Lonchura striata: one gene and its partners. The main gene of each other region encodes a partner of the protein of the gene in region 3 in a complex. Links are inferred from orthologs where the notes say so. Each region holds a gene or a part of one and is shown on either strand. Other genes may lie near its edges.

Region 1 (7,123 bases), on a different chromosome or scaffold from region 3:
AAGGCATGAATACTTCTTGTGCCACAGAAGTAGGCAGAACTGGTTAATTTATTCCTTATATACCTGTGACTTATTTGAAGTCCCAAACTCTCATCCAAGAAAAATCTCTCATTAGCTTCTTCAAAGGGAACTGAGTACTCATGATGTATAGTTCTTCCTTCCTTCAGACATCTAGATGTCTTCCTGTCATAACCATTCCCCTAACTTCATCTTTTTCTTCTCTGACAAGGTCTCACTCTTTTCATGCAGTTTTCCCTCACCATTTTGCTATCTACTGCATTCACTCCCCTCGCAAGTACAAACACATTGTTTCTCATTTGCTCAGAATAGAAACCTGCAAGTCCACCTGCGTTTCCTTCTTTCTTTGTCAAATTGTAAGGGCTCCCAAGTACTGCCTTAGCTCTCTGCCACTTTCCCATCCCCTCTATCACTCCATCCACATCAGTTTCCAGTCCTCTTCCACTGTGCTTCCTCCCTAAGAAATTTTACCTGAAAAGACTTCTGTAGACATTTACCAAACTATGCCCTTTCAGTTTCACCTCCAAGAGTCATGTCTCCCTGACGTAAAACAAAGAACTGGCAATTGAAAAGGTATTTAACCTTATGAAGATTATGTAGAAAGAATTCCCTGCTGTTTTTCACAGTACTTATCAAAGATAAAGAGATCTTTGGGACAGGGTCAGCGACATCCCATTAAGGATTATCGCGATTAGCAGGTATTTGAACTAGGTAAAACGACTATGTTTGGGGGTTTTTTGTTGTTGTTTTGTGGTGGTTTTTTTGGTGTATTTTTTTTCCCCAGCAGTCCCAGGGTGCCACAGAGCCACAGAATACTTTGATCAGTATCTTGAAAGTTACTCTTCTAGGCATCACTCTCTTCCAGTCCAAACCCTCCCCTTTGCTGTTGTCTGGGTGAAGGGAAAGTTTCAGAAGAGAGTCCCTCTCTTCCTCTCCCTGGAAGGGATTTGCCGGCCGCCCTCTCCAGCGAGAGCCTGTTCCCTGGGCGCTTCCTGCCCCCGGAATCCCTCGGGAACTCGCCTTCCGCCGGCACGGAGGGGGCCGGGAGGGGCCGGTGAGTCACGGCGGGTCCCGCGGGACTCCCTTCCCCAGCCCAGCCCAGCCCAGCCCAGCCCAGCCCAGCCCCGCTCCGCTGCCCCGGGGCAGCGCCCGGCGCCGCTCGGCGGCCGCGGTCCCGCTCGGGGCGCGCAGGGCTCCGGCTCCGGGCGTGCCGGCACTGCCGGCCCCGGCACGGCTCTGCTTCTCTCGGCTTGTCCCCTGGGACGGACAGACCAAGCACAAGCGCATGGACTAGCCGCGGCCACCCCCATGTCTTCCCTCGTTCAGCCAAACCACCCTTCCAGACGTTCTCAGGTGCGGTGCTGCTCGGGGCGGGGTGTGATCTCTCAGCCCCGTGTAAACGGGGCTTGCCGGCATCCCCCGCCTGCAGCTAGACGTGCAGAGATTGGGGAGAGCAAGACTTACCCCTCCATAAACTGCTTTTGCCCCTAAGCACGATTTCACTCAAAGCAAGTGCCTACTCCCCATTAGCAGGAGCTCTAGTCACCGCACGTGAAACACGACAGAGCACTTGGGAAGAGACACTGGTTGAAAAAACCCCAAACCAACACCCCCAGGAGAAACAAGCCAGTAGCTCTTCCTCCTTCCCAGTGGCAAGGGAGCACCCGCTGACACAGAGGATCGATGGCAGAACCCTCTGGTTCCGAGAACGGGGAACGTAGTGCTTCGGACTCCTGCCAGCTCCCAGCAAAGTTTGGTTATCCCGACCTGCGTGCGCATGTCAAAACGAGGGAACTCGAAGGAATGAGGAGTTCCGGGAACAGCTAAAAACTACAAGAACTATAGTAGATACACCACGGTTTCGGGGGTAGCACTTTATACTGCATCCAGCGGAGCGCAGGTGTGCCCAGCTCTGCGCATCAGGGAGCAGTCGGCTCCATCGACGCGGGGAGCCGGAGGGGCTGTAGGATCCGCACGCAGAGGGACGTGCGCCAATCAGGGCCAGAGAAGCTGGTGAGAAACTACAGAGTTTTGTAGTTTGAAACACGTTGTAAGCAGCCCGGCAGATAGGAGGAGATAAAGCCAGTAAGTTTAGCAGGTAAAAACCGCAGAGCAACATTCTAGCACACACAAGGAGAAATTAAAGGCACAATTCAAAGACAACACCCCACTTTATTTGTTACGTTCTGTCTGAAGGATATGCGATGAGGAGACAAGAAGGCGATTTTGTGAAGACTACCGTGAACTCTGATGCAGACTCCAGAGATCGGGCTGAGCCGCTTCCCCACGCATGCACAGCACCGTATCTTTAGGACTCTTGAGCAAGTTTTAAAAGCTCCTCCTTCACGCCTCCGACCACTTTGGGCACGCTTTTCGTCGCCGGATGGCACCGATTCCCCTCCTCGGGAGCTCCATAGAGACCACATAGTGCCTCATTAGAAACCACGGAACGACCTGCGCTCTCTAACGGAGGGCAGGACGGACCCCAAGGAGAGCGCAGAGGCGGTGCGCTGGGAAGGGTGACTGAGCCCCTGGGGATCCCGGCACACACTACAGGGCAAGAGCAACGGATGGGGGCTCTGGTCTCCCGCCTTCAGGAGGCGGCCCGCACGGACTCGACAAGCGGGCTGGGCTCCTCAGGACAGCTGGAAGCGAGGACCAGGATAGCGGCGGGACTCCGGGCAGTCGCTGCTCCCTGCCGCCGCCGGGGCAGGGTGCGGGGGTCAAGCCCTTACCTGAGTTCCGGAGCTTGCGGTTCTTGAAGACGGAGAGGATGACCAGGAGGTTGCCCAGGATGTCCACCACGGTGGTGAAGATCAGCACGCTGGACAGCACCGGCACCACCCAGGCGGGCCGCGGGGCGCCCGCCGCCGCCGCCTCCCGTTCCGCCAAGCCGAGCCGGCCGCGCCCGCCCGGGTCACAGCAGTTCCTCAGGGAGCCGTTCTCCAGCATCGCGGCCACCCCGTCCCGGCGCCTCCCCGCGGTGACCGGCGGCGGCCCCGCGGACTGACCGCGCGGGCGGGCGGGAACGGCTTTAAGGGGCGCGCCGGGCGCCGCTCCGCCGGGAGGGGCGTGGATGGGGCGGTACCAGAGCCCCCTCCCCTTCGCGGGCGGTGGGGGAAGCCCGGGGGCGGGCCCAGCCCCGCCTGCCGAGGGAGGGAGGAGGCGGTGGCCGGCGGGAGCGGCGGCGCGGAGCGGCGGCGGCTGCCGGGGCGGGGGCAGCCTCCGCGGGTAGCGGAGGCGGCCGCTCTCGGCCATCCCCGGTGACAGCTTGCGTGCCCGGAGAGCCGCGGGGACAGGCGAGGGCGGTGGAGAAGCCTCTGTCCCAAAGCGCTGCTCCTGCCCCAGGGCTCAGCTGCGAACATCCGCCATCCGCCGCCGGGAGAGCGCTTGTCTGGGGGTTGTTTGTGTTTTGTTCTGGGGAGTTGGTTTGATTGTTTTTTCCCTGCCCCGCGGCTCGGACCGCTGTGTTCCTGGCAGCGCAAGGCCAGCGCTCCCCCCGCCTCTCTCGCCGCCAGGCACACGGTGCGCCCAGACGAGTGTTCCTGGCACATTCCTCCCGTCGGCCTGGCAGCACATCTGAAAGGGTCGTACACTGCCTTCGCCGTGGCCTTGTGCCTCGCGTTTGAGCACAGCGGTCAGGCCGAGAATAAGGGCTAAGGGCGATAACTGCGAGCGCCACGGGCGGGACGTGCCCGCGCCAGTGTCGGCTTCGGAAGCTGGGCGCGTTTCGCGGGATTTTCCTCTCAAACTGCAGGGCTGACAGAAGGGCTCCGACGGGCTTCCCTCTGCAATTACGCTTGAAACATATCGTTCCCTTTGGGCCCCGCAAAGTGACAGCTACCATACGCTCATTTGCATCAAACAAACAGGCGAGACGCGTGCGGCAGAGGAGGGCACAGCCCGCGGGTCGCCGTGCCCGGCTGGCGGCGTGGCACCGCCGCCACGTGCCGCTGCCACCGGCACCGGGCGCACACAGCGGGGCCGGCAATTAGGGCTGCTCTCGGCAGCCGTAACTCGGGAGGGGTTTGTGCCCTACTTCGCATTGTTTTCAGGCCACCCAGGTCACACTGTATCGCTGTCCTGCTTTCAGAGGAAGGTATGCCCCCCAGTTTTTCAAGAATTAGATCCTAAGGTAACTTGCCTTGTGGAGTTAGGTTGGAAAAACAGGACAAGTTTCTGTCTTTTCTAACTGTGAATAACTTATTTGGGCTCATTGCTTCTTTGAGACTTACCATGCACTGGTGTGATCAAAACGCTAAAGATTACTTTGTATTTTTTGATTTTTTTTTTCTTAGAAATAGTTTACTGTTCAGTTTTAAATCCTAGTCAATTTCAAATAAACTGAAGTAGTCCTGGTTGGAATGAACATAGAATCATACATGTGGATTTTTTTGTGCTGCTCTTATTTACAGTGATTTAAAAAATAAAAAGAAAACAGCCCTACTTCAGATGCTTTCTGTTTAATGTAGGCAATATGTAAGTCATCATGGTCCTTTTCAAACTACAGCTGGAGTTATCACGGCTTCATGGCTTGGATCAAAAATGAACCTTCTTCTGAGAATTATCACTCCTAAATAGTTGTTTTGCCATTCTGACGTAGGAGAGTAATAACTGTTCTCTTGACAGGACAGGCTCATTCTTGATGGAAGTGAGAGTTCACTTCATTTTCCTTTTTCTTTCTCCAGAAGCTGAAAAGGTAGCTGATCCAAGGAAATGCATATTTTCTGTATTCATCAGTGCAAAGGAGGATTTTTCACTAATGATCTTTAAGAATAGTTTAAGAATAACTTTTGTGTTACAGTGTTTCCCTTTATCTGCCTCTGTTCCAATTTCTCCTTTCAGAAAGTTGTTATTCTCACTGCCCATTTTCTATGTACTACTCTAGACTTATGGACTTGTTAGGGGAAACTTGCACATATTATAATTTATTTCCATGCCTGAGGCTCTTTCTGGGCATCCTTCCAGAATCTGTGTAAATGCTTTCAGGAGAACTGTACCATTTTGTTGTCTGTCATTACTACAGGATTTATCTTTAACTGTTTGTTGAAAGCTTAAACTGTCCCTGAGCATAAACGTGGCTTTTCAAAGTAGGCTTTGCTCCCGGCATTACCCAGGTCTGCAGTTTGTCCCCACAAGAGGAACAATGTATTTCTCCCTGTCACACACAATTGTTATGTATCATTGCTCACTTCATTTAATAACTCCCAAAAGTATACCAAGTGATTTAGAGAAAAATTAGAATGCTATGGCCTGAGCTTGGCCCGAAGTATAAGCCTGCCACAAAATGTGAAACAGACTGAAGCGTTCTGGCTTTGGAACAAGAATCTGACTTTGGTGGATGCACTGGCATTTGACATTAGAAAAACAAGCAGATCAGAATAAAACTGGTACCTTTCCTGCCTCTGCAACCTGTAAAGAGCATGTTCTTTATCTGCTCTGAATTTCCACTCTCTTCATTAATATCAGTAACAAAGATTGGAATTATTATTTGGTGTTGTCTGTCAAAGGATAAATTATAAATGTTAATCTTCTTTGCTTTGCGTAATGATTGATTAAGATGCATTAAACGATCTGTGGATGAACTTACTCAGCTTTTTAGTAGCCTTATTTCCAATTAGCCAAATTCTCTTTGAAAGTGAAATAGGTATTTAAGCCTATTGATTGTTGGAGTTATAAAATAACTAATTGTTGCAAAAAGCTCTCCATCTCAAAGGAAGAGATATAGTCTTCACAGTTGGATTTTTAAGACCTTTATATTTTTAATTTTGGGGAAATATTCTTCCATGTCTAGGAAAATTAGCCATGTCTTGTGTTTCTTTTTGAAAGCAATCTAATTTTTTTAAAAGGCAAGCTCTATTTGTTTTGCAGGAATTGCCTGAATAGTGGAGCAGTCAAATATTCCATGCATTGCTCGGCTGCCTGAGGCTAAACTCGCTTGTCTTTTTTTTTTTTTTTTTTTTTTTTTTTTTTTTTTTTTTTTTTTTCCTTTTCATTCTGAAGGAAAATGACTGCTTCCTGGAAATACATTCAAGCACTTTTTTCCCTGTGATTTGCTGATTTGACTTTCTAAATCTGTAACTGATCACAGAAGTCAAAAGTTTTCATGAGCACAAATAAAATTTCAGGACAGAGGATCCCTTTGGTAAAATCTCTTGAATTTCAGGTATTCCACTGAGGAAGAGATTATATCTCCTCTGTGTTTTTTATTTCAGCACTCATTTCTACAAAACCAAGGGACACTTATAGCTAAAATGGACAGTTTCCAAATAGCATTCCTACTTCTAACTCAACTCAGTCTGAGTTGATTGTTCTCACTGTGTACACCACGGTAGGGTTTGGAGTCTTATACCTTTTATACCTCTTTCTATACAATTAGGGGTTTTTAAATATATGTCTATATTTTTAAGTCAGCTTGAGCCCACTGTTTAAATTAAAGTCTGTCCACTGGTATCATGAGCATGTACAAAAAGGGTGGTATCTTCTCTGATCAGGAAGGGTCTTTCCCTTCTGTAGGAACAGAAGATTCACTTATTAACACTTTCTGGTCTGGGTTTCATCTTTTCCATGCAATGTTAATATTTTTAATGTAGAAATCAAAGCCTTAGTTAGAGGAGGATTATTTTGTTGTCCATAATTTTCCAACCCCTTTTAACCTGTTGGAAATTGCCCATAAAATGAGATCTGCCATCCCAGTCTCAATAATTTATTGATGTTTTAGTCACACTGAATTTCCATGGCACATAAGAGGATCCTTTTGCTGTGAATTCAGTGAAAAGAGTCACCCATTTTTGAAACTTTAATCAATAGATTGGACAAAGCAGAGATGTGGAGTGGGAAGGGATTTAGGTTGAGTATGTCTCAAGCTAAGGGAGAGAGAGAAATCGAGATCAGCTTCCCAAGGATTGTACACATTTATTGCCCTGTGATCATTGGATAGGTGTGGGAAGTAGGTGGAATAGATAACCTTGTGAATGACTTTCTGCTGAAACTGAAGAGGGTATTTGAGGACTAGCTTAGACTAGGTATTGCAGTGTGAGGTGATTAAAGGGGAAGATTGCTTGGGGAAGATTATTCCAAGGGTTATTGCAGGACTAAAGCTACA
Region 2 (7,999 bases), on a different chromosome or scaffold from region 3:
GTTCCTGACTGGATAATTGCACATGTCACACCCATCTTCAAGGAGGGCAAGAAGAGAATCTTGACAGTTACAACGCTCACCTCAATCCCTGGGAAAGTTACAGAGCAAAACTCCTAGGAGCCATTGCCAGCTACATGATGGACAAGGCAGCTGCTAATATCCCATATGGATTTACCAAGAGTGACTCTGGTACTGTGGGTAAGGAAGGGGAAGATGGCAAATGTTGTACAGTCTGACTTTAGGATGGCCTTTGACTTGGTTTCTTCTTCAGCCCTTAAAGAAAAACAGGGATATGCACTGCATAAGCAGTGAAGATTTGAGGGAATCTGGCTACACTGCTGGACTCAAAGGGTTCTGATCAGCAGCACCAACTTTAATGGCAAGCACTTACTAGCAGCTTCTCTCATGGATCCATACTGGGATGAACACTATTTATTGTCTTTATTAAACTACCTGGATGACAAAGTGCACTCCCAACAAGCTAGTGAGTGAAATCAAAATAGAGCGAGCAGTCAATACTTTGGAGAGCAGGATCACATTCAGCTATTCCTTGATGGACTTGAGAAATGAGTCAACATTAGGAATGTTAGGGAGTTCAACAGAAGTAATAGTGCACTGAGTCTTCCATCTGGGTTGGAAAAACCTTGGGCAATGGCATAGACTGGCTAGAAAAGACTTGCAGATAAGGAGCTGGAGAATCCTTTGAGTGTTAGTCAGCCTTTGAGTGCTACTTTATCCTTGCAGGAAAGGTCAATCACATACAGGGCAGCATTATCAATATGTTGCCATAAGGCCAAAAGAAGTAATTGCTCAGCACTTCTGAGACTAAATCTAAATCATTGTGTCCACTTTAGGGCTTCATGCTTCAAGAAAGGTATTAATATACTAGAGCAACTCCAGACAGGATAATGTATTTTACCAGGCTGCCCAGAGTTACAATCTCCATCTTCAGAGATACAACTTGGACATTCTCGTTGGACATGTTTTGAACCCAGGACTGAACTAGATGACTGTCAGAGATCCTGTCAAACCTAAACTACCTTATTGCTCTGTGAAAAATCAAAGCCTTATTTCCAGAGCTCATGACTGCTGAAGGAATTTCTGTTCCTGTATTTCACTGGGCAGCTACAAACATCCAACCACATACTGCAAATAAAAGGACTGGCTCTTAACTCGTTAAGTTATGTTAATTAGTTGTTTGGTATCATAGATCAGATTCAACATCTACAAGTGGAAAACATTCTTACTGAAGGACTACTTCAGTGTTTTCTTTTCCTTCACTTCTTTCTTATCCTCCTGTATTTGATTTTCCTCTCATCTCTTTTAGTCTCCTTTTCTGTGCTTTCCCTCCTTTTGCAGCGACCTCCAACCCAGCCCTTTGTTCATTATACTATAAGACTATCAGGAACATCCTTTCACGTGCCATGATTAACTTCTACTAGAAATCTGTGATGTCTGTGTGCAAAGAAGGGCTATAGATGCAAGCATATTCTGACCTTGAACTGAGTTTTTGCCCACTTCATATTTAGGAAGTTAATTTTAGTCACATTTTCATAGAAAATGAAATTTTCAAACAACCCAGAAAACTCTAAAACCTGAAAACTGAATTCTGGAGTTTGAACATTTACATGTCCATCCCAAAGATGTACTATAGTAGCCATCTCTACAATAATTATATCCTCATTTTGAAGAGCACATTAAATTTCAACATTTAAAGTGAAACAGAAACACAGAGACAAGATAGGAACATTTTACAGCATATACATCTATGAGATTGGGTTTGTACAAAGAAATAAAAAAAGACATATACAAACAACATCCTTGAAAAAAATAAATCAGAGATGTAAAAATTGTCTGAGAATAAAAAATCAGGGGCAGGTACATCTTACAAGAGAAATGCACTATTTAAAGTCTAAAAGGGTGACTATTAAATGCAGATTAAAATAAAACATTAGCACTAGCAAATATATGCACACAACAAGAAAAATGGTTCTAAAATGCATGAACAAAGGGTTAGAAAGCTAAATAAATGTAGCTTCTGCAAAAATGCTTGCTGCTGTCAACAGAAGTTCTGTGGGATTAAGTCTGCAAAAAGAATCTATTTTATTCAGAATGACTCACTACACTTACTAACTGCGGTGCTGTGTTTTTCTTCATTCAAGTTCTCCAAAAAACCATCAAACTGACAAATTCACAACCATGTATTTTTTAGGGGACTAAAAATATCACTTATAAAAAACAGCTGCAGATGATACAGGCACGCAAGCAGTGCACTTGGAATTCAAGTTACTAAGTAATTTCAGTGACCTGCATTCCTACAGTCAGCCCAAACACTGCCATATTACACTTGAGGTTCCAGCCTTTATTCTGAACATGCTAAATATTCACAATAACATTCCTTAAAATTAAGTAACTCTGTGGAATGTGACTACCTTTGATGGTTGCCTTGGACTCAAAAGACCCTCCTACTGCACCCAATCCTTTCACTACACATAAGCAGGACAGCCCATTGCCTGAGGTCTCTCAATAGCAGCAAAAGCATTAGGCTTTGTTACCCAGTATTCACTAGCTAATACCAATGTTTCACATAAAAGCAGCAAGAATGCAGAAAAAATTTAAAAATGCATCTGGAGGTGAAAAGAAAGGTTCCTCCTGTCCATGGATATCCCTGCAGAATCTGTGCAACTTGCAGTTCATTAAAATTTGAGGCTAACAATCTAGCCAACAGTTTACAATTCCCTCATGAAGGTGGAAGTCAGACACCTATCCTAAAGTAAGCTTTAAATTTTCATGCCAAGACTATCAAACAATATATTTTGTAACCTGCGGGGTTCCATGTTCCTCATCTTGCCCGTCAAAATCTGAACAGTGTTTGTACATATATGGTAAACACAAATGTATGTCTGCACATATATGGTAAACACAAACACCTTCTGACACACAGCAATTTTTAAATTTACATGTCCAAATCCTGGAGCAGTCAAACAGATATTGGACCAAGAGCAGCTGTATCAGAACAGAAAACAAACAGCTAGAAGGATAAACAGTTAGTGAAAGAATGCAACCTGCACCATTTATCTCAAGCAATTAGCTTGAGCTAATTTCTCATCATGCTAGGCTGGATTGGTATCTAATATACCAGTGTGACTCAAAGGGTACAATCTAGTACTGTATCTTAATCAAATGAAGGCAATATTTTATCAGATCAAAGCAGGAAACACATACTGGTGTTGTTTATAAAGATAAAACAATTCTGAAACAAACTCTTCCTTTAATAAGAAGCTGGGGTACTAATGTCAGCCGTTGAGCAAAGACATATTTGCGTATCTCAAAATTTCCATTTCTACAGCAGACCTTAGATGCTGGACAGGGAACCACACTGTGGTATTACTTTGTGTACATATGAAACAAGTTCCCTGTGCAATTTCCCTTTAAGCAGTCCTGAATTCTCATTACTTCATTTAAAGCAATTTTACTCACTGATGAAGCTGAATAATTTAAAAATTATTCAAAAACAAGTAAGGAAAAACAAATCCAGAATAAAATAATCCAGAAGAAAAATAATCCAGAATATAATCGGTAAATTTCCCCAAAGACTTTCTGAATGTGATGTTAGACATTAAGACTGAGGAGCTGAAAGCCCTGGATAGAGCCCTTCAGCTCTTTGGCATCTAAAGGGAATCAAGTCGTGTACAGTGGGAGTTCAACACAAGAAAAATCAGTGTACGGTGTCAACCAAGTGCTCCAAGTAGGTACAAGAGTAGCTCACAAGGCTCTGTGCTCTGCTATAGCAAAAACATTTCCTATAATACAAAGTAACTTTGCCATTAGACCTGTATTTATTTGAGGTTTTCTGATGAGAGGGATGTGTTAGTAGAGATCCTAGCTCTCTACACACCTTCACCACTACAATGTCAGCCAACACCTGTGCTGTGAATACAGCCCTAACATTTCCACAGAGGCATCCTGCACTCTGCATGGGTTGGACCCGCCAAAAATACCCTTATCATGCCTTGTTGGTTGTTTAAAATCAGGCCACTAAATGAGGTCATGAAACAGTCCTTTGCAGTCATGAATGATCAGTATCAGTTTCTGGGGAAAATCCCAGCTAGCTCTCAACCACAGCCTCTAACAGCAAACGAAAGGATTTTTCATCTACCTCAAATCTCCAAAACCCTCTTAACAAACACACAATTTAACTTTTACATTAAAAGTTCTTCACCCAGAAACAAGGTTATTTCAGGTACAAATGGGTTAACTCACAATTTGTCATCTCATTCCCTTCCTACTTCCTAGCCACTCATTCTTGTCAATATTATTTTAGGGGATTCAAATTTGTGCTTTAGAAGCTTTTGATCTTTCATGTATTTACCATACTTTTTCATTATCATTATTATCACTGCTTAAAATGTAATAAACAACTTACAAAGGCAGACATTTTTACTAATCTCTCAAAGACACAGAGTTCTTTAATTCCCTCATTGATTTTTGAAAGGCATTTCTGTAAATCCTCATCATTATGATACTAAAACCATACTGGGAATGTCCACGGGCGTTTGAGACATCTGCTTTAACACCACATCTCGGTATGTCTCAGTTTTGAGGTTTCCTCGTGCTGCATCAGATCTTGTTGGTAAGAAGAAGTTCTAAGTATGTACTGATTACACAGCTCTTTGCTGTAAATTAAGGTATTTTTAACTTCAAATGGCAAATAAACAAAGTTTTTCTCATATGAGAGGGATTTTAGCCGGTCAACAATTAGTCAAGTAAACCTCTGGGTGAAGTCCCTTCTGCGAAAGTCGGTAGTGTGTAACTTCAGGGGGGAGGTGGAAGTGTTGTTTCTAATTACTCTCCTTGAGCAGACTAATTGTAAAAGGATCAAAAATAGATGCTTTCACATCCCATAAAACAGTAGGCAGCAAATCAAGACCGACACATAAACAGGGCTGGAGCTTTTTTAAGCACTTGAAAAAACCCTACCCCTCCCACAAAGGACTCACGTAATCACTCTTGAGAACAATGTGCAAGGATAAACCTTCTCAGTCAAGCCATCCTGTTAATGCCCTTAACTGCTCAGAGGATCCAAGAAGCTACAGAGATGTAAGTACAGAAAACAACTACTTTTTACTGTTTTCCTTTGCCACTGAGCAATAGCAAACAATTCCAGAAATATCTCCTTTTTTGCATTATACTGGATATTTTCATGTGGCAGTAAGGATAAATGATCTTGTATGGGAAAGGCCCATGAAAGAAATTCTCTGATATTTTATATTCCCTTATTAATATGCTACTAGTAGTTTCCACTTAAAGGATCTGTTGATCTACAGCATCAACAAGTTCTTCCAACTCCTTTCTCATAATACAGCCTTCTGACAATCACAGGGAAACATTTCATACTGCCTCAACTTAGACAATTTTTTAGCAACTAATTTAAATTATACTAGTGCAGAAGTAACTACTGTAGAAGTAGTAAGGGAAGCACTGAAGCTCTAAAGTCACTGAACCTCACAGAATAATAGTAAGAGGGAGCCTTAAAACAAATTCATGCTGTGCTTGTGAATGCATAGCTTGCTTTTATCACATGCGTTCCTTGTCTATGAAAACAGCCTTTATTATCAGCTCGAAAACTTCTCACTCTTCTCATGTAACATTGCAACAGAGCATTTTAAGAGTTCAAAGCTTTATGAGCTAATTCCTCTTTTTAACTTCTAGTGCACATTTCTTGAAAGGTTTTTAGAAGGCATTCTTCTTCTCAACTGCAATGACCAACATCTCTCTCCTTATTACTGATCTTTAGATATGTTACAAGTGGTATGATTTTTATACAGCTTCCCAATTTAAAAGGATACATTTTTCCTATTATACTAGCAAAACAAGACAGTCCCACAGAAAATAATTCAACTATCTTTTATCTAAAAAAATAAGAGTACTTGCCTTTGAGGAGAAAATACAAGAGATCTGTCTAACATCTTCATGATTGCTCCTGAAGAGACAAGGCAATTGAAAATTTACCTAGCAATTAGTCTTTAAGAGCTCAAATCTCATTTCTTTCTGGTACCACGTATAGATAATAATAAACTTAATAAAGAAGCTGTAATCTGAAGCTGTAAACCCTAAAATTAAATACTATACCTGTATGGATTTAATGTAACTCAGAAAAAAAAACCCAAACTCAAATAGGTGCACATGTTTTCTAGTACTAAAATACAAATCCTCATCTGACAACTTTTTTCTTCTGCTAGAAAGAATGTCATTTGCAGTGGCTCACACTTTTATTTTGCTTATTTGCTCTAGTTTTAGGCTCTCTCCTTTTTACATTTGGTACACCTAAGCAAGTATAAACTAAAGGGAAGTTAATAATCTTAGCATCAGTACAGCTCTTCATGTCAGTATGTGTTTTTGACAGAGATTATTTATGTTAGATAGGTCTCACACTTTTTATAGAACACATCACCCTTGTAAAGAGATATCCAACAGATAAGACCAGAATGTACCCTTCAAATTACTTCCACTTTTTCTTTAATTAGTTATGCACTTCAACTCAACTTCTTTTTTTTCCATCTCACTTAATGTAGGTTCTACTATTTTTTAGCAACACATATAACTGTCATACAACAACTGTCATGCAAAATCATAGTAGTAGACAAAAGCAATACCATAAAGATCCCACAGTCTTGTGCATATTCTGTTAAGAAGCTAAAGAATATTCTAATTCCTTATAGCCACTGTTAAAACAATTTAAGGTGCTGTAAAGACAATATTTGGGATTCTCTGATGTGTGTATTACAAATTTGGGTTTACTATGCCAACAAATTTGGATCTATACCAAAGAGGGATAAAAGTACTAGCCTGGAAACTCTCTCATCAAAATTAACTGTGGGTTGTGACCTGAGGACTCAATCCTCAGGTCATTAGGTTGACTCACCAGCCTTTAGAACACAAAATTCAACAGCTTTTGAAAAGAAATTAACAAAAAGCACTAGAAACATATGAGTGTTATAGCGTTAGAAAGAAAGAGGAAGCTTTAGGACATGCCTGTCTCTTGTGTCAGCTTTTATTAAATTACATGCAGTCCTCAGTTGCCAGTCCACACATCATATTATGCAGCTTAGGTATATGTTCTTTCTATTTTAACTAAGTGTTCTACTATGCAACTTAGCCCACACACTTTTTAATACACATAACTTAGTTGAAATCAAGCCTTTTTCTCAAACAGAGGAAACACTCTACAATAGAGATCACCTGTACGGTAAAATAGCAATACAAACTGTAAATATGTCTGGTCAATAGAAAAAAAAAAATTGAGATTAAGAAAAAAATTAAATCTACAAAAACACAGTACTGTGTATTTTCAATTTTCTACTGTTTTAAAACAATGTAAGATCTACACAGATTATATCTATAGAGGACTGTAAGATCAGTGAATCTTGCACATAAATATCTTTCCTGACCATTCCTTTAAAATAATCTATACTCTTTATGCATAGAAAAACAACATTAACCCCCAACATGATTTGTTAAAGAAATATTGTCCGTCTCACAGTGATTAAACCATACTATGTGTAGAGAGACAGGAGAGATCTTTCTACTGAACTGCTGTGCCTTTCCAAGAATATAATTAGATTCCTTAAATTAGCAACTGGACCTGGGACAAATGGACCAGGGATTCATCTTCAAAGAATGAAAATTATGAAGGGACACAGAGAAATCACATTAGATTACAATACAGAGTAAAAGCCTTCCACATGTCCCCTCTTCAGCCGAAAAGACAGATGGTGCTCCTCAGCAAAAGCAGGAGATGAGAAAAAGAAGAAATTAAATTAGCATTCAGAGAGAGCTTTGTACCACTGCTTGCACACAATCCCAACCCATGTAATCTAAGGTGTAATACTGCAACTGCTGGCTCCCAGCTTAAGTCTGTGCTTCTTAACAGTTAAATGTATGTAATATTATTATACTACATATAAAGCTCATCACACATGAACATGTCTGTGAAGCA
Region 3 (7,336 bases):
TACAAGGTCAAATTCAGCTTACTTCTAAGAATGATGGTTCTCAGAAATTTTCCAGGAAAGGCTCTGCTGCTCCTGGGGATAGCACATTGAAGTGCACAGAATCACAAGGCTAAAATAGCTATACATGAATAATGTTTAGAATCCAGTATTTTTATTCCTAATACCTGCATTCAAAATTTTAGGAAGTGATGAACCAATTTACATATATGACAAAAAACTCAGACAATCCAGTTCAATAGTATTTTGGGTAGATTAAATATATCTGCTTATTCCTAGAGACAGGACAACAAAATAGAAACTTAACAGGTATCAGCGATTTTGTTCACAGTGAGGGTTCAGGTACAGCAATGTCACATCTCTCTCAACTGAATCCCTACAATTTCCTGTTTTAGAAAAAAAAACTTAGAAAAGCATATGATGGAGTAAATTAAGTTTCCAGTCTAGAAATCGATTAATTTTACGAACACATCTTCCCTCAATTGAGCATTCTAGCTCAAACTTCAGTAGGCTTCTCTAATCACCAGGCAAAAATAGATTTTTTATATATGCTGGAATAAATCCAATTTAATGGGTCAACTATAATAATAATAATAGGTATACAGTTACATGACCTTTTTTTACATAAATAAGGTTGTTTCAACTGCCACTCGCTCATTGCATTTGCCTGGCAGCAGACCACAATTTTTACTTTTCCTTTTATTTCAGTACCTTTTTAGCAGAACAAACCCATAAATAGATGTAGGAGTACAACCAAGTGGATGATAAACTATGACATGTGGGCTGAACAAGCAATTGGGAAAGTGAGTGGTGAGAAGAAAGTGACTCTAGTGGAAATAACTTTAAATACTTTTGCCACCAGATAAAGCATTCACATCACATTCAAGACACCTGACAGACTTGCAAGGAAGAGGAAGGCAAAAAACTTTCATTCCAAAACATGTGAAATAAATATCCATGGGTGCATGCACAAAGGCTCATCCAGAGTTCACTAAACATTTAGGCAATCATTGTTAAAACAATAATCCCAGCACTGGTCCCAGGAGAAGCCAGGCTGCCAGCCTTCACACCTCTTTTTAGCAGGGGAGAAGGAAATGCTAACCCAAGAGAACTGCTGCTCAGGGCACCCTGAGAACCTACATGCAATTTGACCATTTGTTCCATGCTCTTAGCTCTCCTGAGAGCCCAGCAGAAAGGCTTTCCAGCATCAGAAACAGAGAATTTATAAAATTTGAGCTCATAACATAGGACTTAGTACGTAAGAGCATTAAAATAGTGACAAAATCCATTCTTAAGTTTAAAGCATCTTTAAACAGATGTCATCCGTAGCCAAGAATTATGATAAAAATAGGAAAACCAGTACCAAACTACAGGCACTACAAGTTCCACACAGAACAGCAAAAAATTGAAAATTAATTTCAAATGCCTTGCCAGATGACACAAAGTTTTACTTTGCCACTTTTTAAAAAGGCAGCAACATCTGCAGCATTGCTATTATCACATACAGGAAAAGCTTTCCACAAATAATCTGAGGATTCCAACGATGTTCAGGACTAGGCACAGTACCAGCCCAAAACTGAGCAGATTTAGGTTTCCACCAATAGGCTTCCACTTCCAATTCCTGGAGAACAATTCGAGCTTTTGTTTCTGGCTTACCTCACAAGTTAAATTTTAAATCTAGAAAGTTATTTTAGGATCTTTGTTTTTCCCATTCTGGATTTGTTTCATTTCTTCATCTACAATAAATTTTTTGTCCCTTTCTGGAGCCATCTTAGAATTTAGCAACACAAAGTTAAGAGGTCTACTACGTTTGTAGTCAATAGAGCACTACGGGAGAGCAAAATCAATGTCAAGGAGAGTGAGATATTGTGCATCATTTAAAAAGTTTGCCTAAAACGGCACCTCTGAGAGAGAAGCTGCAACTCAGCAGCTATTTTAACTGGCTATTAGATCCAGTCTGGTTTAGCTATACAGAACATACTGCGAAACTTCCTACAACATTAATTCAATGCAAATCTTGCAGCATTCAGTTGTCTCCAACCTCCAGTAGTTTTAATCCTCAACAAATGTACTCTATTTAAAATTCTCACTTCCTATTTTCTTGTAATTTTAAAAATAACCTTTTCTTTACACACAAGAATATCTTAAAATACACAAAAAAGGCAAGTTTCAAGAAGAAGAACGCACAATGACAGTAAGTCATATTACACACGTAAGTAGCTCCATCAAGCTGGTATTTCCCGTTGTAAGATCCCAGAAACTGTTCCAAAAAAAAAAAAAAAAAAAAAAAAAAAAAAAAAAAAAAAAAAAAAACCGAAAAAAAAACCCCACCCAAAAGTTAAATGGTGCTTTGCCTTCTTTTGACACTTTTTTATACTTTACGCTGCAGCAACAGTTCAGGAGTTGTTCGGGTCTACAAGAAAACATGAAGAGCAAATATCCCCCCAACGTAAGGTTTCCTTCCTTTCATCAGAGGAACAGAGACTGCAGGTCAGAAGTTTCATGCGTTATCCCGTTCCTATGAAAGCCAGGGCCCGGGCAGCCCACGCCGCGCCGCTTCCCCGGGCGCTGCCTCTAATCCTTCCAGCAGCCGAGGCTCCACCTGCTCCAGGACGCTGCTGCCCCAAAACCTCTGAGGGGCCCCCAGCACGCACCCCGGGGTCCGAGGGCAGCACGGCCCCCCGCCCAGCCCGGAGGCTTCCTATGAAACTGTACCCTCGGCAGGCGAGGGAGCTCCGGGCAGCGGCCGCCTCAAGAGGAGCCTCCCCTCACGGCATCCCTTACCTAAGAGGAGCAGCTTGACCTCCCTGGCCGCCTTCTCGCCGTCCTCCCGCAGGTTCCTGTCGATCATCTTGCTCCTCTCCACCGCCGCCTTGTCCTCGGCGCTCAGCGTGCAGCCCATCTTGGCGCGGGGCTGTGCGGCTCCGCCGGGAGAAGCGAGGCAGGGAGCGGCGGGGCTCGGCGGCGGGGCGGCGCTGAGGAGGGAGTGGGACCGAGCGCTCCCCGCTCGCTCTCTGCTCCCCCGCTCCCTCACCTGGGGCGCGGCGGCGTCGCGGGCACCGCGCGCCGGGCTCGGCTCAGGGCCGAGAGGGGAGGCGGCGAGCGGGAGGGGCGCGGGGAGGCCGGGCCGGGGGAGCGCGGAGCGGGGGCAGCGGCGCTGCGGACGGGCGGAGCGAGGCCGCGCACCGGGGCCGCCGCTCCCGCCGCCGGCCCTGAGGCTGCTGCGCGCGCGGCACCGCCCCCGCCCCGCCGGAGGCGCGCGGCCGCGCGCGCGCCGCCCACGCCGGGAGGGGAGAGGGGAGGGGCGCGCGTGCACGGCGGGAAGAGCGGCGGGCGCGGCCGCGCGTGCGCACGGCGGCGGCGAGGCGTTTTGGGGCGGGGGGCGGAATGGGGGGGAGCGCTGCGGGAGCGGGGCTGGAAGCGGAGACGCAGCGGGAGCGGAACGGGAGCGGGGGCGGACCGGGGCTGAGAGCAGCGCGGCCCGTGACGCCCCCGCGCGCGTGCCCCAGGCAGTTGCTGGGGAGGGGCTCGAATTTAAACTGCTCGCGCGCGGGAGGTTCCATTGCTCGGCGGGGCGGGGGAGAGCCGGGCTGAGCTGTACCAATGGAGTACCCCGGGGGGGGAGGGGGTCGAGCTCCTCGTCCCCTTGTCCCGCTCCGTCCCCTTGTCCCGCTCCGTCCCCTTGTCCCGCTCCGTCCCCTTGTCCCGCTCCGTCCCCTTGTCCTGCTCTGTCCCCTTGTCCCGCTCCGTCCCCCCGTCCTGCTCAGTCCCCCCGTCCTGCTGTTTGTGCTGCCGGGATGCAGGGAAGCACCTCGGGGTGCAGCCCCGCCGTTGCTGGCTGCTGGCAGTCGGCTCTCGGGCGGGCTCTTACCTGGACTCATCCGTCAGCTTTACCCCACAAACCCAAAGCCAAACGAGCTATCCCACCTCACGGCTCAAAGCTGCTCATCCCGCTCTCTTTCCTGATGGACCTTTCTTCATCCATGTATATGAGTATTTAAATGGGGGAGAGGGTGCCAGGAGGATGGAGCCGGGCTGTTCCCGGTGGTACCAAGCAGGAGGACGAGGGATAATAGGGAAATTGGTGCAGACATAGTTCTACCTGAACATGAGAGAGAGCTTCACTGTGCAGTGACCGGGCACTGGAACGGGTTGCCCAGAGAGCCTTCCCCACTGGAGATACTCCAGAACCATTTGGATGCCATCCCGGGCCATGTGCTCTGGGATGACCCTGCTAGAGCAGGGAGGTTGGAACAGATCCCCCCAGATTCCCCCTCCAGCCTGACCCACTCTGTAATTCTCTGTCCTAGCTCAGAGCCCAGGCACGGGGCTGTCTGCACATCTGTGACCTGCCAGAGGTTGTTTTATGACTTGTTTTGCTCTTTATTATAAAAATCCAAAGGAAACTATGCAATGCTTATGAGTCTTTCCCCACCACACACATGTTGCGCTGTTTGGATTGCAAAAGAAAGATCCCGTTACCCGATAATAGGATCACAGAACAAATGGGGTCGAAGGGACCTTGGGATAATCCAGCTGAGCTGCGGTGCGACTGGGACCCACAACCCCATCTGGGGAGCACTGATAGGGTGAAGCAGTGATTTCACTGAAATTCGTGGATAGAACTCTGCACAACCGATAAAACTTTGTGAATCTCAGGATAAACTTTGGTCCAAACATAAGGCGCAAAAGCTGACAAGGTAAATCTGTTCAAATTAAGATTCATCATTCCAGTGAGTCCAGGATTTTTTATTTCTATAGAATCTCAAGAACTTCTGCCCCCAGAATGAGCTCAAAAAGAGCAGCATTTTACAGCACAGAAGGTGTTTTAGCATTAGAGTGCAAAAACTTTAAGTCAGACTCAGCTATTACTATACTTAGCAAATTAAAAAGCTTTTTTCCTGTAAAACTCAATGGAAAAGTTGTAGTAGCAAACGTTCTATTTTTGTTGGATGTGTCAGATTTTCTTCTTTGCAGGGGTCTTTGAGTGCTGACAATGAATAAACCATAAGTAATGATGTAAAAAATGAAGTAGATAACACTCAAACGATAACTTAAATATTTTTCTCATCTTCTGATTGGTAGGCATACTTTCAGTCCTAGTAAAGGATGTTACAGAATTCTTTCTTAAAGAACATCAGTTCTCAAGATTTTATTAGACCTCAGAGACATTTTATTTGGTCATCTTCATTGTCCCACTGCTATGGAGAATGCCAGGGCACCTGAGAGGTGTTTGTTGCTTCTCTGCCCTCCTGAGTTGTTGAGGTGCTTAGTCCATTTTGTGTTCTCTTGGGCAGACTTCCACACTGGTACTGTGTGGGATAAAAGCTTTTACAAAACAATTCATGTCACTTATGGAAACCTAGTCTTGTTTTAGGGTTCCTGACCTCTCCTGTGATAGAGGGAGCAATGTCAACTGCTGCTCAGGAAAGAACAGAGTTAGTGGAGATAAAAATTAATAAGCTTAGGGATATTTTTCTGATTTGGAAATCAAGGATAAAGAATGATTTCTGAGATAACACGTGGTTAGGATATTTATAAGTGAAAGTACAGATTAAGGGATAAGAAAGTAGTAAACAGAGATTATGGTAGGTGGAAATAATGTGATAATGAGAGCGGCAGATGTTACAGAAATGGAGATACTACAAGTAGGACACCTCAACTTCACATGGATTTTGTTTCAATTAATCATGTGCATAGAGCACACATTTCTATACTTTTCACCAGGAGTATTTCTTAGGGTGTTCTCTCTGTCCTTTTTCCCCTTTAACACTGTCACTACATTCATAGGCAAAAAACATGAAACAGCCCCAAGTTCCTGTTCTTTTTATCACCCTGTATCTGGAAAACACGATTGTATGGTATGTCCTCTTCTGCACATATAACTTAGTCTTAAAAATAAAGGTTGACTTCTCTTTTTAGTTCTATTTAACCCAAACCCACTTTATTTCATAATTAGGACTTTTCTACTACCTTTTCCTATTACAACCCTGTGGATAAATTTTACCTGATTGTACATGGACAATATTACAAAAAAAACAGTGCAACTCCTGAGCATTCTAACATGCATTCCTTTGAAATTTGAAGCCAATTGGTATAGATTTTTAATTTTTCAGAAGTGGAAATACTACATGGCCCAGGTTCACCAATATTTCCTTATGCAGTCTTTTTTGAAATAATAAGAGAGCTTTTCAACAGTTCAGCAATGTCAGTTGTTTACTTCTTATGCAGCAATGGTGCAGGGGATAAATTATTGTATTCTAGTTGCTTCACACACATAGCAGTTCTTAGGATCATGGAATAGCATAAACTCTTTTTACAGTGCCCAAGAGGGCTGAGGAATGATTGTGCTAGCTCTGTTGTGGCCAAGAAACTCTGTCTATTCAGAACAAAGGTTGTCAGTGCAGTGCTTTATAACAATGTCTTACATGGTGCTGTGGAGCAGTGCTGCCCTGAATCACTACCTGGAACAGCCACAGATCAGTACCTGATGTCTGAAAGGATTTCCTTCTAAGATAAAATAGTCTACTAGACAGTGAAAGAAGCTATAGTTAAGTAGATAAATCTAGTCTATATTTGGACAGTACACCCATGATCCCTGTGTTTTATTCCAAAACATAGGGAATGTGTAAGCTCTAACTCATTGATTAGCATTGCCTCACAGCAGTATGGTTATGTGAGACAGAGTATTTCATCCTTGTAGTTAGAACTGCACAGCTTCTACCTTCATCTGACAAATTGGGATATTGCTCAGGAGCTGTGTGTTTCATGGCCTCATTCCTGAGAGGCGATTATTCCAAGAGATTTTGTTGTTTTGCTTGGTTTAACAACAAATAGCTGTTGTTTGATATGACCTCCTTTTGAGTCTGCATTCACCAGCTCCTGGGCTCATTTTTCTGTAAGATTATCTTTAGCTGCTGCTGCTGCATGGACTTAATAGATAAATTTCTTGTGTTTGGTATGGAATGCACAGTGTTTTATGGAGATGATGATCAGCCTTAAGCCTTCTATTTTGCTCGTTTTCAGATTTTAATTTAAATTATCTAATTTAGTCATCTTATTTGCTCGTCTTTAACCAGACACAGTACACAAAAACATATATGAGAAATTGAATATAGTTGTTAACAAAAGAAACAGAGGAAAGTGGGTAAGAATTTTAATTTCTGCCTTTGAAAAAGTAAATAGAGCAAAGCAAAATTCTTTCTGAATAAAGCATGTAACTGTATGCATAATTATATCTCAATACCTGAACTGCAATATTTTTTATTTAAGTTATTTAATTTCCTTTTGTGCTAAGAAAATATAATGTTCCCAAAGTATGATGCAAGGTATCTTCTTC
Region 4 (7,395 bases), on a different chromosome or scaffold from region 3:
CAGCTGATTCCAGAGTAGGGAAAGGGCAAGGTTATCCAGTCAAACTGCTGAATTCCTGCACCTGTGGAAGAGCCATCCCCGGAGGCACAGGACAGACAGACAGGGCAGCAATGCAGTTGTCTGAACAAGCCTGAGGGGAGGTGCCTGCATGGCTGTTTCCACCAGACACCGAGAGCAGACACTGCCTCTCCCCATTGTGGAGAATGGGGTGCTTTGGGAATACCACGATGTTTCCCCTCCTGTGACAGCAAGCAGCAAGACAACACTTCTGCCCCCCCAAAAAAACCCAGCCAGGAGGAAAGGGCACAGCTTCATGGGGCAGGCAATGAGCCCCGTGCCTCAGATCTGGGCAGGAAAGGGACTCTTTCTAGGTCCTATAACACCTCATTTGAGCAGGAGGTGAGATTTCATCTTACAGTGACTCCAGGCATACAGCTCACTATGAGTATATTTGTCCTACACACTCTCACCAAGAGAAGAAAACAAGATGCTACTCACTTTTGCTCTTGAGGAGCTGGTCAAAGGACTCCCTCCATTCCAGCACCTCTCGGGAGGAGTCTCTGGAAAAGACAAAAAGGATGTGAGGCTCACTGTCCAGCAGTGAGGGCTGGGAGCACTTCAGCTGTGCAGCTCCATCACCGGGAGACAGCAGCATTCAGCAGGAGACCAAAGCCAGGGGCCGATATCCATTACCTGTGGGCTCTCTTTCCTCTCTCTTCCCTTTCTTTCACCTTCCCTGATGGCTCACCCGACCTCATCTCCATGCTGCTCTAGGGGATGCTCAGAAGAGCCTTTTCCTGCTGGCCCAGCAGAGCCTCCCCTGCAGAAGACCCCCTGCCCTCAGCAGCAATATTTAGTGTTCCGTGTTTAATGCTGCCTGTATTCCCCGGGGATCCCAGCCGCTGGTGTGAGACACCAGGAAGTGCAGGAGCCCTGCGGGTTCCTTGCCTCTTGCCAAGGAACTTGCCTCTAGCTCTCTGTGCCTAATGCCAGAGCATCCGCTCCCCCGGCGGGTTTTATAGGCGCCAGAGCAGGGAAGCGATCCGCCTTCCCGGCCCGCCGGGGTGGGACCGCGCGGAGGGGAGCTGAGCTCCGCGCTGCGCAGCCGGCTGCAGCATCCTCGCCAAGGGCTGCTCCGTGGGGGCTCGGCCCGGGCTGCGGCCGGGGCAGAGCTTGGCTTGGCTTACCTGCGCCTAGAGCCCAGCTGCAGCTTGCCGGAGCTGCCCGCCTTGTGTCCCAGCTCGGCTTTATGAAGCAGGATGCCCAAGCGGCTCTTCAGATCCTTGGCTCTGGAAGGGAGGAAGGGAGAGAGGGAGGGGTGAGATGGGATCTCCGGACCATCGGTCTGCTGCCTCCGCCGGCAGGGGCTGCACCCCACGGGCTCGGGGGGTCAGCCCTCGCTCCCTAGCTCCAGCCACGTCTTTGCTCCCTGGTGTGTGAAATAAATGCTCCCCCATTGCTTTTCCTGCTCCCTGGCAACCGCGCATTAAGCCTGGGGGACCGGTTTCTCCTACTCGCTTCCCAGGCAGACACATGGAATACAAAGCACGACGAGCTCTTTTCTCTGGGGCAGGTAAAAGCTGCTGAGTGCCCAGCTGGAGCCCCCCCAGCTCCCCGGAGCTGGTTCCTTTTCCCACCCCGCTCTCCCCCAGTGCTCCCAAACCGCTGGAAAAACACAGCGGTTTCTTTCCTCCCGGCACAGCGGGAGCATCTCCTGCTGCTGCCAGGCTGCTGCTCCCCTGCTCTCTTTTTCGGGGTGCCCTTGGGCCCCCAGGAGCCTTTCACCAGGCCATGGAGAGGGCAGCGCTCCGCAGCGGCGCCATCCACCTACCCCATGGCTTTAGGAGGCAGGGGCAGCACGGATGCTCCTGTGCCAGAGGCTGGGATTCTCCTGTGCCAGGGGCTGGGATGCTCCTGTGCCAAAGGCAGCGATTCTCCTGTGCCAGGGGCTGGGATTCTCCTGTGCCAGGGGCTGGGGTGTTCCTGTGCCAGAGGCTGGGATGCTCCTATGCCAGAGGCTGGGATGCTCCTGTGCCAGGGGCTGGGATGCTCCTGTGCCAAAGGCAGGGATGCTCCTGTGCCAGGGGCTGGGATTCTCCTGTGCCAGAGGCTGGGATGCTCCTGTGCCAGAGGCTGGGATGCTCCTGTGCCAGGGGCTGGGATTCTCCTGTGCCAGAGGCTGGGATGCTCCTGTGCCAGAGGCTGGGGTGCTCCTGTGCCAGAGCTGGGATGCTCCTGTGCCAGGGGCTGGGATGCTCCTGTGCCAAAAGCTGGGATGCTCCTGTGCCAGAGGCTGGGATGCTCCTGTGCCAGAGGCTGGGATGCTCCTGTGCCAGAGGCTGGAGTGCTCCTGACTGTCCCCGCGGCTCCGCGGAGGAGGCACCTCCCTGCCGGGAGGAGAAGCGGCTCCTGCCTGTCCCCAGGGTGTCCCCGAGGCTGCGTGTGGCCCAGCTGCTATTTGCGTGCCCGCGGCTCGTTCAGGCGTCCCAAGGCGCCCGTACAAAAAGAAGGGTTTAAATGTCAAGCCGGCAGCGTGGGGCTTCGCGGGAGGAGCAACATGTCACTTAAAGAGTTCGGCCGTGCTGACAAAAATACTCCTGCAAGTTGTGCAGAGGCAGAGCCAGAAAAACCTGGTGTGTTTGTACAGCCCTGTCCAGCCTCCTCTCCCTCCGCTTGTTTCACCTCCGCGTTCCCCTCCTGCGGAGCAGAAGGGATGCAGCCACAACAAATGACTTGGCTGCGTGTTTTCTGCACCCCGGGTTCTACCCTACCATCACATCGGCAGCAGCAGAGGCCGGTCCGGGCGCGTCTCTTCCAGCGACCCCTCTGCCTCCCAGAAGCGCCTTACCTTTCCAGGCAAGTGATGGGGAGCGCGGCTAAGCCCCGGCACATGCTGAGAGCTGGGCACCCAGGCATCCAGCAACTCATCGGCTCCTCCCGGGGCTGGCAGGGGGTGCGACAGGAGGGCTGCGACACCAGCCGCCCCGCGGACCCGTGCTGGCGGCTGCGACGGCGGCGCGGAGCCGCGCTTTATATCGGGTGGGAGGCGGGAGAGCGGGGAGGGGGACCGGCATCACTCCAGCCTCCAGCCAACCAAGAGCTGCTCAGGCAGCGCCCGTGAAGAGGAGAGCTTAGGTAAGTTGGTGTGTGCTGCTAAGCGAGGGGGGAGTGGGAGGCCCAGGCTCGTCCTTGAGCATCACAGTCATAGCCGCTTCCCCGGGAACAGGAAAAAACAGGCTCGTGTCCAGCGACGTGTGGAGCCTGCTGATTAACCGGCGGGTGGGAGAGCGAGGGACAGGACAGACGCCGAGAGTCGTCAGCTCCATCCTCTGCTCCATCCCCTGCTCCATCCACTGCTCCATCCCCTGCTCCATCCACTGCTCCATCCCCTGCCCCATCCCCTGCTCCATCCTCTGCTCCATCCCTGCCTCCATCCCCTGCCCCATCCCCTGCCCCATCCCACTGATCCATCCCGCTGATCCATCCCCTGCTCCATCCCCTGCCCCATCCCCTGCCCCATCCCACTGCTCCATCCCCTGCCCCATCCCCTGCTCCATCCTCTGCTCCATCCCTGCCTCCATCCCCTGCCCCATCCCCTGCTCCATCTCCTGCTCCATCCCCTGCTCCATCCCCTGCTCCATCCTCTGCTCCATCCCTGCCTCCATCCCCTGCCCCATCCCCTGCTCCATCTCCTGCTCCATCCCCTGCTCCATCCTCTGCCCCATCCCCTGCTCCATCCCCTGCCCCATCCCCTGCCCCATCCCCTGCCCCATCCCCTGCCCCATCCCCTGCCCCATCCCGCTGCTCCATCTCCTGCTCCATCCCACTGATCCATCCCGCTGATCCATCCCCTGCTCCATCCCCTGCTCCATCCCTGCTCCATCCCTGCTCCATCCCCTGCTCCATCCTCTGCTCCATCCCGCTGCCCCAGGGCTTCCAAACCTCCCCGCACTTCCCCAGTGGTGGCAGCCCCCAGCGGGGTCAGGAGGGTTTGTGCTTCCTGGGGGGATACAGATGGAGCAGGAGGGTTTAATGTTTCCACTTCCCTCTTAATGGCACTGCCCGTTCACAGCTGGAATATATAAGGACAATGTGCTGGCTGAAGTTGCACTTCTTTGACACAAATCCCCTGCTGGGTGTGTGGTGAGAGGAGGGAGGGGAAGGGATGCACATCAAAAGAGCCAAAACCCGGGAAAGGATCTGATAATGGAGGATCCTGATGAAACCTGAAAATTGAAAGGAGATTAAAAGCCAGGGAGAGTTTGGAAACTGGAGGTGAAGGACTGAGCCAGCAAAAGAGAAAGATGAAGAGAAAGGGTTAAACCAGCACACACCAGCGAGCCCCAGGGTCTGGAGCTACAAGAACCAGAGGTCACTGAGAACCAACAGGCCCCGTGGTGAGCTCAGGCTCACAGGATCCCAGAGCTGCCCTCCCTGCAATTCCCAGCTCAGTGGCTCTGGAAGGGAGTGACCTTAACCCCCCTGCTCATGGCCAGCCAAGCACAAGGCCACAGCTGCCACTTCCACTCCTCATCCTCTCCCTTCCTCCCTGCTATTCCCAGCTCAGACATTTTTCCAGAGCTCAAGTTGTCTCCTACCCTTGCTGCCTGCATTCATCACACACAGCACATTGCCAGAGCATCTTTCCCAGGAGAGATGAACTGTGCCAGGAGAGTGGCAGCACAAAGTCATCTGGGCAGGAGAAAGGCTCCTCTCAAGCTGCCTTTGGGAGCAGGGGCATGAGGATATCTGGGTGGGAGACTGAGAGGGGCATGAGGCACCTCAGCCCCACCGAGCAGTAGAGTCCTGTCTTTCTCTCATCACTTACAAGAAGCCACAGAATGGTCTTGCTCATGGACAGACAGGAAGGATGCATCAGGACTAATGACTGAACACACACTTTTAGCTCCTCATGTAAGAGCAGCCTCTTTCCTGATGGCTCTGGGGATTTTCACTTGAATAATCATGTTTAAGCCTTCTTGGTTAGCAGATATTCAGCTACAAATAAATGGCTGGAGCTACACAAAGCTCTAATTCAAGTCTTCTCTGTGCCTTAAAACAAAAATTAGAGCTGTGATCTTTGCTGTGGATTTCAGGGAAGAAATAGAAGACTTGAGGAGAGAGGGCTGGAAGGTTGCCTTTGCCTGTACAGCTGCTGAGAGTGTCTGTGCACACCCAAGAATGTCTGTGCACACCCAAAAATGTCTGTGCACACCCAAAAATGTCTGTGCACACCCACAGCGTGTGTGCTTGGCATCACTTTTGGAAGTGCCACACCAGCCTGGAGCTCCACCCCAGCTCAGCACCACGCTGGGAGCACTGGGGTCACAGCAGCAGTGGCACCTGGGGGTGGGCACAGGCTGCTGGCACCCACACTCAACTGTTGCACAGAGTCAGGGCTGGAAAGGAGATCTGGAGATCATGCCAAAGCAGCTTGGCACTCACCTCCCTGCTGCAGCAGGTGACCAGAGGCTTTAGGGAGGCAATGCCCCTTCTCCTCATCCCCTACATCTACATCTCCTCGCTGGTTTTTCCACACAAATTCTGTGGAAATGTTCACCTCTGTCTCTTTCCCCTCTAGCACTGCAGCCCATCCTTGCAGCCGCAGATCTGCGAAGGCACAGGGTGCTCTGGTAACTCTCCCTGGTGTTGGAGGCACGCTCTGAGCAGGTCATACCAGGAGGAAAACCTCCAGGAGCCTGGCCACGTGTGGCAGGCACACGGGACAGATGATTCCTGGCTGCAACTCAGAGCCTGGCACAGCCACCGTGCTGGGAACCACGTGCTGCCTGGAGCAGCCAGGCAAATTAACTATGGCAAAAACACAGCTGGGATGGCAGCAACTGGGGGGTGTGAGCCAGAGCAGAGAAACTGTGCACATCTCTGCCCTGAGGCTGCAGCCTGCTGAGCCCCTCTCTTTGCTCCAGGCCCTGCTTCCCTGCTGCTTTTCCCCAGAGAAATGAAGTGCATTGGACAAGCGTGTGTGCGTGTGGTTTTACCTTGTCCCCTGTGGCAGCTTTTGAAGCTCTGGGCTCAGGTGAGGCCAAGCTGACAGTGAAGCAGAGCTGAGGAACTGCCCGTGGTGAGAGAACAACCCCAGGGAAGGCGTCAGTCAAAGGCTGTGGTTTTTTGGGGACCACAGCAGCTCAGCCAGAAGAGGCACAAAGGTGTTTGCCACAGAGCTGGCTCTGGGACACATAGAGTGCCAAATCTATGTGTGCAGGTCTGAGCCCAGGCACAGGAGTGGGATTGGGCTGTTCCAGCAATTTCCTCCTCACCAGGGCTGGGACAGGCCCTGTGGCCGCTGTGCCACAGCCACCAGCTGAGCCCTCTGCTCCCTGGGGCAGCTTTTCTGCCTGTCCCCTCCGATGGGGCTGCTCCAGGACAGGCAGCTGGGCAGCATGGGCTGCTCTAGGTGAGATATTTCATCTTGCACAGCTCTTCCCAGGGTTATGCAATAGCCTCCGAGCCCAGCCCGGCGTGTGTACTCAGATGTCTTCATGCTGCTCTGTATCTGATTGAATTACGTGCTTCCTGTCTCATTTAGCTTAGCAGCCTCCCGCGGCTCCGGCCCTGTGCCCTCCTTTATCAGCCCTTGTTTTGGAATACAAAAACCTCATCCGTGTCGCAATGCCCAGAGCCGTGCCACAGCCCTGCCAGCGCCAGCCCACCTCCCGGCCATCAGGATGGTCTCACCTCCATCCCAAAGCTCCTGGCAGCCCAGGCAGGTGCTGTGCTGCCTTCTGAGGCTGGGAGGTGGCTGGGCTGAGAAGGCACCCACAGCCACCCTCTGCCAGCTTTTGGGGGGCTACAGCCACTGGCTGGCTTCACCTTCATCAGCAGACACCCCCCCCCACACACACCCCCATCAGCCCCAGGGAGTGCTGTATTTGCAAAATGCCAGCAAAATTGGAAAACACAAAGTTTTCAGCCCCAAGCTACAGAAATGGGGTGGGGAATTGGTAAAACAAGGGTTTGGTGACATGGCTGGGCTAAGGCACCCACAGCCACCCTTTGCCAGCTTTTGGGGGGCTACAGCCACTGGCTGGCTTCACCCTCAGCAGCAAAATACACACACCCCATCAGCCCAGGGATTGCTGCTGCTGTTTCTGGGTTATTTGCAAAATGCCAGCACCTTTGGAAAACACAGAACCAAAGGTCTCAGCCCCAGAAATGGGGTGGGGAATGGGGAAACAAGGGTTTGGTGACAGGGTGCAAAGTGCCCTTGTGTATGTGCCCAGTGCACAGCTCTGAGGAGAGCTCCTGGCAGGAGTATTTTTGTGGTTTTATATTGTTCCAGTGGAATAAGGGGAAGATGCAGCAAGAGATTGGGATGGGGAGGCAGGGAGAAGGAAGAGGGGAAGAGCCAGGCTGAGCTGTGCTGTTGGGGTCTCA

Evidence for each region.
Region 1: the proteins of GNAI1 (region 3) and MTNR1B are in contact, whole or in part, in a cryo-EM structure (PDB 7VH0), measured with the Homo sapiens proteins. The link is inferred for Lonchura striata from reciprocal best matches to the Homo sapiens genes GNAI1 and MTNR1B. Residues at the interface, in NP_002060.4 of Homo sapiens: Arg24, Arg32, Glu318, Ile319, Tyr320, Phe334, Asp337, Ala338, Asp341, Ile344, Lys345, Asn347, Leu348, Lys349, Asp350, Cys351, Gly352, Leu353, Phe354; in NP_005950.1 of Homo sapiens: Arg138, Tyr141, Ile142, His149, Arg150, Arg154, Ile223, Val227, Ala230, Arg231, Lys233, Ala234, Lys235, Thr252, Met253, Asn312, Asn314.
Region 2: the proteins of GNAI1 (region 3) and GPR183 are in contact, whole or in part, in a cryo-EM structure (PDB 7TUZ), measured with the Homo sapiens proteins. The link is inferred for Lonchura striata from reciprocal best matches to the Homo sapiens genes GNAI1 and GPR183. Residues at the interface, in NP_002060.4 of Homo sapiens: Arg24, Glu28, Arg32, Glu318, Tyr320, Phe334, Asp337, Ala338, Thr340, Asp341, Ile344, Asn347, Leu348, Asp350, Cys351, Gly352, Leu353, Phe354; in NP_004942.1 of Homo sapiens: Asn64, Thr66, Arg129, Ala132, Val133, Pro136, Leu137, Asn140, Lys141, Arg144, Ile219, Lys222, Leu223, Thr226, Asn230, Pro231, Leu232, Thr233, Ser236, Val238, Lys241, Ala242, Thr245, Ile246, Ile249, Ala311, Cys312, Lys313.
Region 4: the proteins of GNAI1 (region 3) and regulator of G-protein signaling 16 are in contact, whole or in part, in a crystal structure (PDB 2IK8), measured with the Homo sapiens proteins. The link is inferred for Lonchura striata from reciprocal best matches to the Homo sapiens genes GNAI1 and RGS16. Residues at the interface, in NP_002060.4 of Homo sapiens: Val179, Lys180, Thr181, Thr182, Gly183, Ile184, Val185, Gln204, Ser206, Glu207, Lys209, Lys210, His213, Ala235, Glu236, Asp237, Glu238; in NP_002919.3 of Homo sapiens: Glu86, Phe87, Ser88, Glu90, Asn91, Ala126, Pro127, Glu129, Val130, Asn131, Ile132, Asp133, His134, Leu162, Lys165, Asp166, Ser167, Arg170.

The regions. Positions count from the first base shown.
Region 1 is NC_134604.1:38,877,104-38,884,226, reverse strand, and holds the start of MTNR1B (melatonin receptor type 1B), read right to left. Parts: upstream 3,008-7,123; 5' UTR 2,971-3,007; coding exon 2,754-2,970; intron 1-2,753.
Region 2 is NC_134604.1:78,150,035-78,158,033, reverse strand, and holds the start of GPR183 (G-protein coupled receptor 183), read left to right. Parts: upstream 1-4,992; 5' UTR 4,993-5,059; coding exon 5,060-5,100; intron 5,101-7,999. UniProt on the Homo sapiens protein: G-protein coupled receptor expressed in lymphocytes that acts as a chemotactic receptor for B-cells, T-cells, splenic dendritic cells, monocytes/macrophages and astrocytes.
Region 3 is NC_134607.1:62,429,401-62,436,736, reverse strand, and holds the start of GNAI1 (guanine nucleotide-binding protein G(i) subunit alpha-1), read right to left. Parts: upstream 3,019-7,336; 5' UTR 2,900-3,018; coding exon 2,782-2,899; intron 1-2,781. UniProt on the Homo sapiens protein: Guanine nucleotide-binding proteins (G proteins) function as transducers downstream of G protein-coupled receptors (GPCRs) in numerous signaling cascades.
Region 4 is NC_134611.1:1,692,691-1,700,085, reverse strand, and holds the start of regulator of G-protein signaling 16, read right to left. Parts: upstream 3,018-7,395; 5' UTR 2,929-3,017; coding exon 2,849-2,928; intron 1,290-2,848; coding exon 1,188-1,289; intron 1,007-1,187; exon of another isoform or gene 765-1,006; coding exon of another isoform or gene 694-764; intron 561-693; coding exon 499-560; intron 1-498. UniProt on the Homo sapiens protein: Regulates G protein-coupled receptor signaling cascades. Inhibits signal transduction by increasing the GTPase activity of G protein alpha subunits, thereby driving them into their inactive GDP-bound form.